Linked DNA regions of Schizosaccharomyces pombe. The main gene of each other region encodes a partner of the protein of the gene in region 2 in a complex. Each region holds a gene or a part of one and is shown on either strand. Other genes may lie near its edges.

What was found.
Region 1: dad2 (region 2) and dad3 share a complex: the UniProt entries of both Schizosaccharomyces pombe proteins name them as parts of the DASH complex.
Region 3: dad2 (region 2) and dam1 share a complex: the UniProt entries of both Schizosaccharomyces pombe proteins name them as parts of the DASH complex.

What each region holds. Positions count from the first base shown.
Region 1 is NC_003424.3:5,228,065-5,231,460, reverse strand, and holds dad3 (DASH complex subunit Dad3), read right to left. Parts: upstream 1,663-3,396; 5' UTR 1,636-1,662; coding exon 1,558-1,635; intron 1,521-1,557; coding exon 1,338-1,520; 3' UTR 561-1,337; downstream 1-560. Other genes in the region: mek1 (meiosis-specific serine/threonine protein kinase), read right to left, coding at 1-124, 165-321; Smc5-6 complex SMC P-loop ATPase subunit Smc5, read left to right, coding at 1,708-1,760, 1,829-1,994, 2,044-3,396. UniProt on the Schizosaccharomyces pombe protein: Component of the DASH complex that connects microtubules with kinetochores and couples microtubule depolymerisation to chromosome movement; it is involved in retrieving kinetochores to the spindle poles before their re-orientation on the spindle in early mitosis and allows microtubule depolymerization to pull chromosomes apart and resist detachment during anaphase.
Region 2 is NC_003424.3:2,784,520-2,788,069, forward strand, and holds dad2 (DASH complex subunit Dad2), read right to left. Parts: upstream 1,774-3,550; 5' UTR 1,630-1,773; coding exon 1,494-1,629; exon of another isoform or gene 1,463-1,493; intron 1,166-1,462; coding exon 1,017-1,165; 3' UTR 640-1,016; downstream 1-639. Other genes in the region: porphobilinogen synthase Hem2, read right to left, coding at 1-411. UniProt on the Schizosaccharomyces pombe protein: Component of the DASH complex that connects microtubules with kinetochores and couples microtubule depolymerisation to chromosome movement; it is involved in retrieving kinetochores to the spindle poles before their re-orientation on the spindle in early mitosis and allows microtubule depolymerization to pull chromosomes apart and resist detachment during anaphase.
Region 3 is NC_003424.3:3,105,691-3,109,034, forward strand, and holds dam1 (DASH complex subunit Dam1), read right to left. Parts: upstream 1,152-3,344; coding exon 684-1,151; 3' UTR 501-683; downstream 1-500. Other genes in the region: WD repeat-containing protein Atg1801, read right to left, coding at 181-218; csr101 (sec14 family protein), read left to right, coding at 1,150-2,316; ubi5 (ubiquitin-40S ribosomal protein S31 fusion protein), read right to left, coding at 2,738-3,190. UniProt on the Schizosaccharomyces pombe protein: Component of the DASH complex that connects microtubules with kinetochores and couples microtubule depolymerisation to chromosome movement; it is involved in retrieving kinetochores to the spindle poles before their re-orientation on the spindle in early mitosis and allows microtubule depolymerization to pull chromosomes apart and resist detachment during anaphase.

The DNA.
Region 1 (3,396 bases), 2.4 Mb from region 2:
TCATCATCGATTAGCACCGAATACACTCTAAAGTGCTTATAACTGGCAGTGAATTGCAGAAGCTGATAATTGCATGTATTACTCCTTCCAACAGAAACGTCTTCATATTTCTTAACATTCAGTACTAATATATGTCAAAAATCAATTGAAACAAGAGAACACACCTGTTTGTGGAGAAGATGATGAAAAAACAAACAATCGAGCGAGAACATCATCTTCAGTATATTGAGGATCCATAGTACTTTCGTCTATTTGACTCAATTCACAAAGAATTTGCGTTGATTCAGATCGACTAAGCATGGCATGTGATAAAAAGTCCATAGTTCTTGCTTTTTTTTATATACACTTTGCAAAACGGTGATGCGCGTAAGCAATAAATATATATATACTTTGTAAGACGCGCCTATCAAAACGTAAAAGCAGTGTCTATAACGGTATAAAGACAATACCCATTATTATTACGTTATACCACTATAAACCAAAGTCATTTGGTAATGCCAAAACATACACTTGCCAATATTTTGAAGGATTGGGCTTGACACTATTAAGTATATTAATAAAATATGAACCTCATTGCTTATCAAATATAGTAAATTATGAGAATCCATATTAGTACAAACAGAAGAAACTTTGGATTTCAATCTCGAAGAGAGTTGCTGGCATTTAAATGATTTTTAGTCAAATGCAAGCAGAAGAAAATTTCTCGCTGTATTCACTTTAATGATCCGAGGACAAAAACGAGTCCCAATTGTAAGTTGCTCTTCATAACGAAGAAATTTGAGTATGAATAACCATTACGGTTAGAAAAAAACAAGGAAGGAAACTTATTATTTGATTAAGAAATCAACAGCTTACAACATTGCAGATTCTCATGCAACCCCATTTTCATAACGCTTTTAGGAAAGCTTGAAAACACTTTCGAATCCAGCATGATCTAATAAAATGTTAACAGGCAATTAATCGGAAGATTCATTAGGTCAGTGTTTCCGGGGTAATAGTTTAGAAATATTTAAGGCCGGACTACTTCCAAAGGGTTGTTTTGGATAATTGATTAAAAGTGATCTAACCAACTTTTTAAAAACAATACCCATATTCGTTTCTTGGACATTTTAGCCGAAAAGTGCTTTTTAAAAACCTTCATAAGCTTATATCTTGTGCCTGTTTTTACTCTTCCAAGTAGGATGTATTTTTTTCTCTGTAAAAGTGATTGAAAAATTATCCGGTAAATATTCAGTTCCAAATATTCATAGTAAACCACACGAAAAGCACCAACAGTAGAGTTAAAGCTTAATTTATAGTTCGGTTTGACGTATTTTCAATTTCAAACAAGCACGTTATCAACTTTCATCTTGAAACATGCCGCTTTTACCTTCTTGGTTATTTTCTAGGTCTGCCAAAATCGCCCAAACACTAGCTTTGTAAAGAGTATATACAAGTCCAACCTCCTTTTCTAAATCCCTTAGCGAGTCCAGAATATTGTTGCTGGGATTATAAACCATGTCCTGTAACACCTTAACAAGCTAAATATTAACCAACTGCTGAATAAAAAAGACTTACTGTTTCTAAATTTGATGCAAGATTAGCATATTCAGCTAAAATTTGATTCTGGAGAGCTCTTTTTTCCTCTAAACTCATTGTACCTTGCCTTGCATAAGCACTTTGCTCTCAGCAAACTCCTAGTTGACTGAAATCCTCCTTACTTCCACCATGGATGGCCTTAGGCCTTCGAAACGAAGAAAAAGTAATCCTTTGTATTCAGAGTAAGTTATAGCTTTTTTCTATTTAGTATTTCTGCTTTTTATACTTCGATGATCTTAACACGCGAGAGTTACGCGTTAGGAAGTATTGTACGAATTAAATTAGTGAACTTTGTTACATACGATTATTGTGAACTGTTCCCTGGTCCATATCTAAATTTGATTATCGGTCCAAATGGGACAGGTAAGAGCACAATTGTTTCAGCAATATGCATTGGGCTGGGATGGCCCCCAAAAGTAAGTCTTTCAATATTATAAAAAATAACTTAATTGATTAACGATTTAGCTACTTGGGAGAGCTAAAGAGGCCCGTGAATTTATAAAGTATGGCAAAAACACTGCAACCATAGAAATTGAAATGAAGTATCGTGACGATGAAACGGTTACTATCACGAGACAAATAAGCCAGGATAAGAGTAGTTCTTTCTCTATTAATAGGGAAGCATGTGCCACTTCTTCAATAACGTCTCTAATGGATACTTTCAATGTACAATTGAATAATCTTTGTCATTTTTTACCACAAGACCGTGTTGCAGAATTCGCTCAGCTTGATCCTTATTCTAGACTGATGGAAACTGAGCGTGCAATTGACCATGAAGGGTTACTTCCCGCACATGAGAAGCTTATTGATTTACGAAAACGAGAAAGGGAAATTTTACAAAATAAAAACCAAGGACAATCAACATTAAATTCATTAAAAGATAGACAACAGGCACTAGAGAAGGAAGTCAATATATTTAAAGAACGGGAAAAAATCAAATCATACATCGAAATGCTAGGGTTAGCTAAAATGTTAGTTATATACAGAGAGAAAACCAATGTCTTTAACCAACTTCGTGCAGACAAAAAAAAATTAAAAAAGGATTTGAAAGACCTAGTGGAAGAATTTCAACCTATTTTGGATAAAGGTGAAGAGCTGCGTTCGGATTTAAAACTAAAAGATGATACATTTAACGATTACTCCTCCGCTTCGATGGAACTTAATACCTCAAATTTAAGAGCCAGAGCTTCTTTTTCGAATTTCATGGAGAACGAGAAAAAGCTTTATGAGAAGGTTAATACCAATCGAACACTTTTACGGAATGCAAATCTTACATTAAATGAAGCACAACAATCGGTGAAGTCATTAACAGAAAGACAAGGCCCAAGACCTTCGGATAACGGTGTTCAAGATCTACAAGAAAAGATGCAAGAAGTTAATGCGGAAAAACTTCAACATGAAAACGAGAAACTTGAGAGCTCTCATGAACTAGGTAGTATCAGAACATTGAAAGCACAAAAGCTTATTGACCTTGATAACATTAAAAGAGAGTTGTCCTACTACAACGATGCTACGAAAAGGAAACTAGACTTTATGTCTTCTGCTCCAGGCTGGGAAGATGCTTATCAGACGTATCAGTTATTGAAGGAATACGAATCTGCGTTTGAAGCACCCGCATACGGCCCAATTTATATGAATTTGAAATGTAAGGAAAAAGGGTTTGCAGCTTTGATAGAAGGGTTTTTTCGCACGGATACGTTTCGAACATTTATAATGTCAAATTATAATGATTATCTAAAGTTAATGGATCTTATCACTTCAAAAACTAAGTACACTCCTACTATAAGAGAATTCTCCAGTGAACGAAAAAAGAAGATA
Region 2 (3,550 bases):
TTCATATAACAGACCACAGTGGCCGTGATCAGTATACTCGCAGAGACAAACATCACAAGCAACAACCAGCTCCGGAAAAAGGTGACGAATTTCTTTAACGGCTTTAATAACTGGTCCATTTTCGGAATCGGCCATGCTACCACAATAGTCCTTTTTGGACTCGATGACACCAAACAGAATTACACTACGAAGACCTTTTTTGACGAGAGGACCCAAAAACTCTTCCAATCTATTAACACCCCATCTAAATTGATTAGGCATGCTATCAATGGCTTCCTTAGCATCATCTATTTCGGAAATGAAGATAGGATACATTAGAGATGACTTGGTAATGGGACGTACACCTTGCCATTCACGAAGCAACGGGTTTGAATACCCAGCATGCAAAAGAGAACTGATATCAACAGGCATATTAAATACTAACTGACAAAATTTATTTGATTTTTCCTAAAGATGTAAAACTGCGTAAAAAAAGCAGATTTGTGACAAATGGAACTAATGGACCAGCAAAAGCGCCTTTTATTGGTTATTTAAAAAAGTTCTAGCGGAAGATCAACAAGATTTCCTAAGAAATATTTTTAAAAAGGTAAGTGGCAGATGGCGAGAGGTTGGCGAAGGTTAAGATAAATAAGTTTAACTTTTTTTTAAAAAATCGGGCATCGGACCACGATATTTGTTGATTACATAACAATAGTATCACTCCTGAATAAATTGTTTGTCCTTGAAGAAATTAATTGTCGTAAGGGAATGCTGGGAGTATTCAAACAAGCGAAACAGGACGAACGCCAAAAGAAAATGACCAAATGAAAAATTTAGATATCATTTAGTTTACAAGGTGATCTCATTCTCCATTTCATTAGGAAGTGAAGATACTTGGAACTTGGGTTTGCTGTCGGCTTTACCAATTCTGAAATAGAAGAAACAATATGAATAAATGGACAGAACAATAATATTTATTTTAACCAATTCTTGGCCTTTTCTACTTCAGTGAGAAATTAAAAAGAGTATTTAAGTCTTTATACCTCTTCAACATCGCCTTGCTCCGTAGCAGATGCGTTGGTATTTGAAGTAGAAGGAGGAATTCGGACTAAAGCTCCTGAATGTTGGGATGCTATCTGTATTGACTCAAAAATGCTGGGCCAATTATTGAGAACAGTAGCAACAGCTGATTTTGTTAGTGATTTGAGTGTCAAACATTTATTATAATGGATTAAAAAGAGTCGTCAAGCATGTATGAGTAGTAGTGAAAATAGAAAAAATAAATAAATAAACAGATTATATTTTTTACGTTTAGGTGAATTATTGAGAGGTAGAAGTTCATTTAGAGACATGTCGGCAAATGATTGCTTTTATTTGCAATCCTGCAGATCCAATCAATTCACTTGTTTCTTTGCTTTTCTCAATGTAATGATATTTATACTTGTTCACATGAATAGCACTTAAACAGATTGGTGACAAGGCTCTTTTATATACTTTCCTCGTAATGAACATACCTTCACTTCCATCTGTTAAAGTTTCCAATTTAGCAGCAAGCGTTTCTATTTGTTGAACCATATCATTAGAAGAATCTCTTAGTTTGCATATTAGTTCGTATTCCTTTTGCTTTTCCTCAATCCTTGCTTGAAGCATGTTCACGCCAAATGTTTGTAGAAGAAGGTACGAAATTTACTAGATTTATCTCCTACACCATATAAGGCGATTTCGGTTTTGTAATTATACGTTTAAAACAAATAATTTCCGTTTCTGGAATTTTATATCTCGGAATGTATTACTAATAAAGAGGTTGATAATAGAGACTAACAAAAAATATAATGATTGATTTTACTCAATTTTAACCATTTGTTTTCATCTTTAATAAATTAGTTAGTTCATTAATTTAAAGTAATAATGAATTTAGGAAACTATGTTGAATAGTGAATATAATTACTCAAATAATGGGTCAAGTTTAGCTAGCTTATTATATCCATATTTTACTAAGTAAGTATGCATTGCTTCATCCCTCTAAAGTTTTAAAGAGGATCAAAACTGTGCATATTCTCTACTATTTCTTCTTTTATTTTTATTTTTATTTTTTTTTACACAAGGTATAATGGGCTTAAAAGACTTTTAAGATTTGGGTTCGATAGTATATTCTTTTGGTCAACAAGATTGTCAACGTTCCGATACATAAGGAAATGAATTTTTTATTCTAGACAGGATGCAACTTCCACGTATGTTTTCTAAAATTTGAACCGTATTTGACTAATTTAAAAATTCATAAAATGTCTCATCCACTATTGAAGTTTCTTCAATGATCGGTTCCAACGGGTCGTTAAAGAATACCCAACTTTTTTAGAACAAATTATAATAGAGTGGCTATTATCCATTTCTAATTAACAACTTTTTAACATACATCAAACCCTTGTTTACATGGTAATCGAGTATTTTCCTTCGCAAAAATTCACTATTACTCCAAATACTCAGTTACTGAATTGTTCGATCTCACAATTAAATTTCGCGCAGTATGTTATTATATTCTATATACAGTTTTAGAATAACGCACTTTATACATGGTTTTCGGCAATAACGTTTACATTTATATAACAATTAAACAAGTTATAATACCGTTATATCACAGAATGTCCCTGTAAATAAAAGTCAGTAAATAATCTATAGGAAAGAAAAAAAAGGAAAAGGATAAAAGGGTTAGGGGATTGAAAGGATCATTGATTTAAAATCTTTGGGTAGTAGCATCTTTATGTATCGCAGTACCGATGAGATCTTCTCCATTTTTGTAAAATTATTGAAAGAACTAATGGTAGGAATACTAAACATAAATTATCTTGTAGTTTTATTCAATGATCAAATAGTTAAAGATTTGGATGATTTCGCTACATTGATACTTGGATTCTATGAACAGCAAAACAATCGCTTTCCCTTCATGCTGAATTAACATTTCGATAACTAAAAACAGATTCTATACACTTTAAGTTCAGAGAATTTAAATTGTTGTTTTTTCCTTCGGCCCGTCTTCAAAGAAACACACTCAATTCATTACTGAAACTGGACTTGCTAAGAGTATTGTTAAAAGCGTAAAGCACACATTAATGTCTTTTGGTAATCCAAACACCAGTAATTATGTGTAATTATGAGTTTTTTCGATACAATTATTACGGTTAGAGGAAGACATGGTTTCCAAAATCATTATGCATTTCTTTCGAAATCAATTATCGATGTTTCAACCATCAACTGTTTTCAAATTGGTATTAATTAAAGAATGTAAGAAATAGAAATAAACGCTGTTTTCCTTTAAAGCAATACTTGATGCTTTATTTGAATTATCTCATTCATCCCAACGTGAAGTTGACGATTCGCTGTAAGCGAAAAATCCTTACTTAACTTCAGGTTTAAAGCAAAAAGAAATCAACAATAAAAAGAAATGTTAACGTGAGTTATGTTCGCGTTGAACTTTGTATCGATGGGGTTGTCACCGTTAAACGTCGTACTAGCTGTGGGTGTCTTTATCTCACTGCGTACCCTCCTTGTACTCATCAAAATACCCCATTTCGAA
Region 3 (3,344 bases), 320 kb from region 2:
AAGTATTAGTGATGTTGATATCAAAAACAATAAAATAAGTACTTTGAATCCTGGTTAAATCCACAAAATAGTAAGCGAGACATATTCGATACCATTTTCAGCACAATTGGCCGATACGTATATTGTTCTAATGACTGGCTTGAGACAAGTGGAATGACCCGCGGCTATACACTTACATACGCTGCTTTGCCGCGGTACTTCCGAACAAAGAAATGCATTTTGAAGTAAAACGAAAACTAGTTGTATACTTGAAAACAAGTGTAATTGCTCCAATGTTTAAAATTACAAATATAGAATGTGAACAAATTTCGACACTTCAAATAGGTTCAATTAGTGTTACATATTTGAGGTATTGAAAGAGCCACTGAAGTTGTAAATGTGAGTATCGAAAATAGACTACAAATACATATTCATTTTATTGGAAATTGAAGATTGGAGAAGCTATTACATATGAGTTTACTGAACGCTTTCTAGAACTTTTAAAGCAATTGTCTACAGTTCACTTCGCTGAAGAAAAATGTGCATTAAAATGTTAAAAATTGTATATAAATCGTAAAATTGAATGATCATTATGATTCCGTTGTTTCATTATCCAACCTGATATGCTAGGTTATTCCCTTCGACTATTATAATAATAAATGAAAAAGAAAAAACTTCAACCAGTCTCCCTTGCTTAAATAAATTTATCTGGAAGCGGAATAGGTTTCTGGCCGTTCAATGAAAGAAGTGTCATTTGTAGCAAATGTTTCGTCTGCAGTTGCAAAATTGGGATCGTGAGAAATAACACCACCATCGTAGGGAGGGTCAGAAATCGAATGACCAGTACGAGTCATCAGCGTTGCCTTAAATTGGTCTTTCTTAGCTTGGAGTAAAAAACTTTCCGAAAGCGGTGCATTTTCATAATCTACGCAAAAAGCATTGATTTGCAATCCATAAAGAAAAGAAGAAAACGATTCGTTGAAATTGTCGAGTATTTGTTTGGTTGCTGACAGGTGATTCATTCGTTTACGAAATTCACTCACATTATCATCCAAAACAGCCAGTGACTTAGTAAAGGCTTGGAGATTCGAAGGGATTGCATTCTCACTTTCTATTTTCACATTATCAACATTTTCTAAAGGATTTTGAGTAGCTTTCTGGTATTTCTCCATGTTTTCGCGACTTTGGGTGAGATGTAGATGTTCTACAGCGCTTTCGGCAGCAGCAGCAGGAACATTTTTCTTCCGACGTTCTCAAAAACAGCCTGAGCCTGAGACTGTAGACGAAAAAGTGAGCTTTGAAAGTTATTCACCTTTAAAGTTGATGATTCAAAAGACATGGCCTAGGTTTCAAGAGCATAAAGAATATCGCGAATCGTTCATACGATTAGCAAAATGCGACTCACCCGACGCTATCTTAGTACGATTTTTGGCTTCTTGCAATAACGATTCACATGAAGCAAGTCAAAAGTTAATCAATACGCTACAATGGCGCGTAGATACAGGTGTTGAGCGTATCGTTGAGCGGGGTGAGCTTTATGCCAAAGAGACAAATGATGATCAGTTCTTGGAACAATTGAGAACTGGAAAGGTAACTATGTTGGGAAGGGACTTATCTGATCGCCCTATCTGCTATATTCAAGTCCATTTACATCAACCCTCAAAATTGACTCAGAATTCTCTTCGTGAGATGACCGTGTGGGTAATGGAAACTATGCGACTTTTTCTGCGACCACAAAAGACTTTGAAGGACTCTATGGACTCTCCTCAAAATGTGAATGTTCTGTTCGACCTTAGTAACTTTTCTCTACATAATATGGATTATTCTTTCGTTAAGTATTTGGCATCGTGTTTGGAGTATTATTACCCACAATCTCTTGGTGTTTGTATTCTTCATAAATCTCCTTGGATTTTCAGAAGTGTTTGGAACATTATTAAGGGATGGATTAAACCAGAGATTGCTGCGAAAATTGTTTTTACTCAGAGCGCAAACGACCTCGAAAAATACATAGACTATTCGGTAATTCCTACTTCTTTAGGAGGAGGCAACAAAAAGATATTCCAATACATAGAGCCAGTAGAGCATGAGAATGATGCAGTCATCGAAGATAGCGCTGAAAAGACTGCAGCACTTGCTCGCTATTATGCGTATTTCAGTGAATGGGAGCAGCACTCTTTAAATTGGGCCAAGCTAGATGATGATGATGCTCAAAATGAAAAAGTCCGCTTATGCTGCGATGCTGCAGGTACCAACTTTGCCAACTGCTATTGGAATGTTGACAAATATATACGAGCGAGAACCGTTTACGACCGACTGAAATGGATTGGTAATGTTTAAATTTACTCAATCTAAACGCTATGTTTTACGACTCAATTCTTTTTATTCTTTTATTAATAAAAGAATGCATCTTCCTATATTTACTACCTTTTACTAAAAACTTGAGTTTAGATCTAATGTCCTCGAAATACTCATGATTCCTCAATGGCGTTTTCAATAATCGCGTTTGCGCATATAAAAACTGTTGAAAATTCCACCAATCATTCAACCGTAGCTTGCTTGTTTAGTTTGGCTTATGTTTAGATTATTTATTTAAAAAAATCATCATGGGACTACTAGAAATATAATACAAATGAAATGTTTTCATAACCATTTACAATATAAGTATTTTCAATTCAATATAGCACATTACAATGAGCAATATAGATATATTACAAAATATCACTTAAAAAAGTGTTAATTTATTTTATCGCAAACTCATTTAAGCTTCCAATTTGAGGGTCAAGTGGCATCTACCACAGTAAAGGCGGTCCTTGTGGTTGGCCATGAAGGTGGATGCACCACAGTTAGGACACTCACGACGAAGACGCTTAACGCTTCCATCATCCTCAACCTTGTAGTACTTGAGGACGGCGAGCTCAACCTTCTTGTGCTTGTGCTTGATCTTCTTGGGAGTAGTGTAAGTCTTCTTTTTACGCTTCTTACCACCACCACGAAGACGCAAAACGAGGTGAAGAGTGGACTCCTTTTGGATGTTGTAATCAGACAAAGTACGTCCATCTTCTAACTGCTTACCAGCGAAAATAAGACGTTGTTGATCAGGAGGAATTCCTTCTTTGTCTTGGATTTTGCTCTTGACATTATCAATAGTGTCAGAGGACTCCACCTCAAGGGTAATCGTCTTACCCGTAAGGGTTTTGACGAAAATTTGCATTTTGGTTGTGCTTAGAAATGTTTTTCGAAATTCATATTTCTTTTGTTAAGTTGTGACTGCTTACTACTGCTGTACTTGGTAAGGTATGACTCTAAAATTTTAAGAATAAGAAGCCGAGCGAGAATTCAATATTCTAATTTAGCGGTCAAATTTT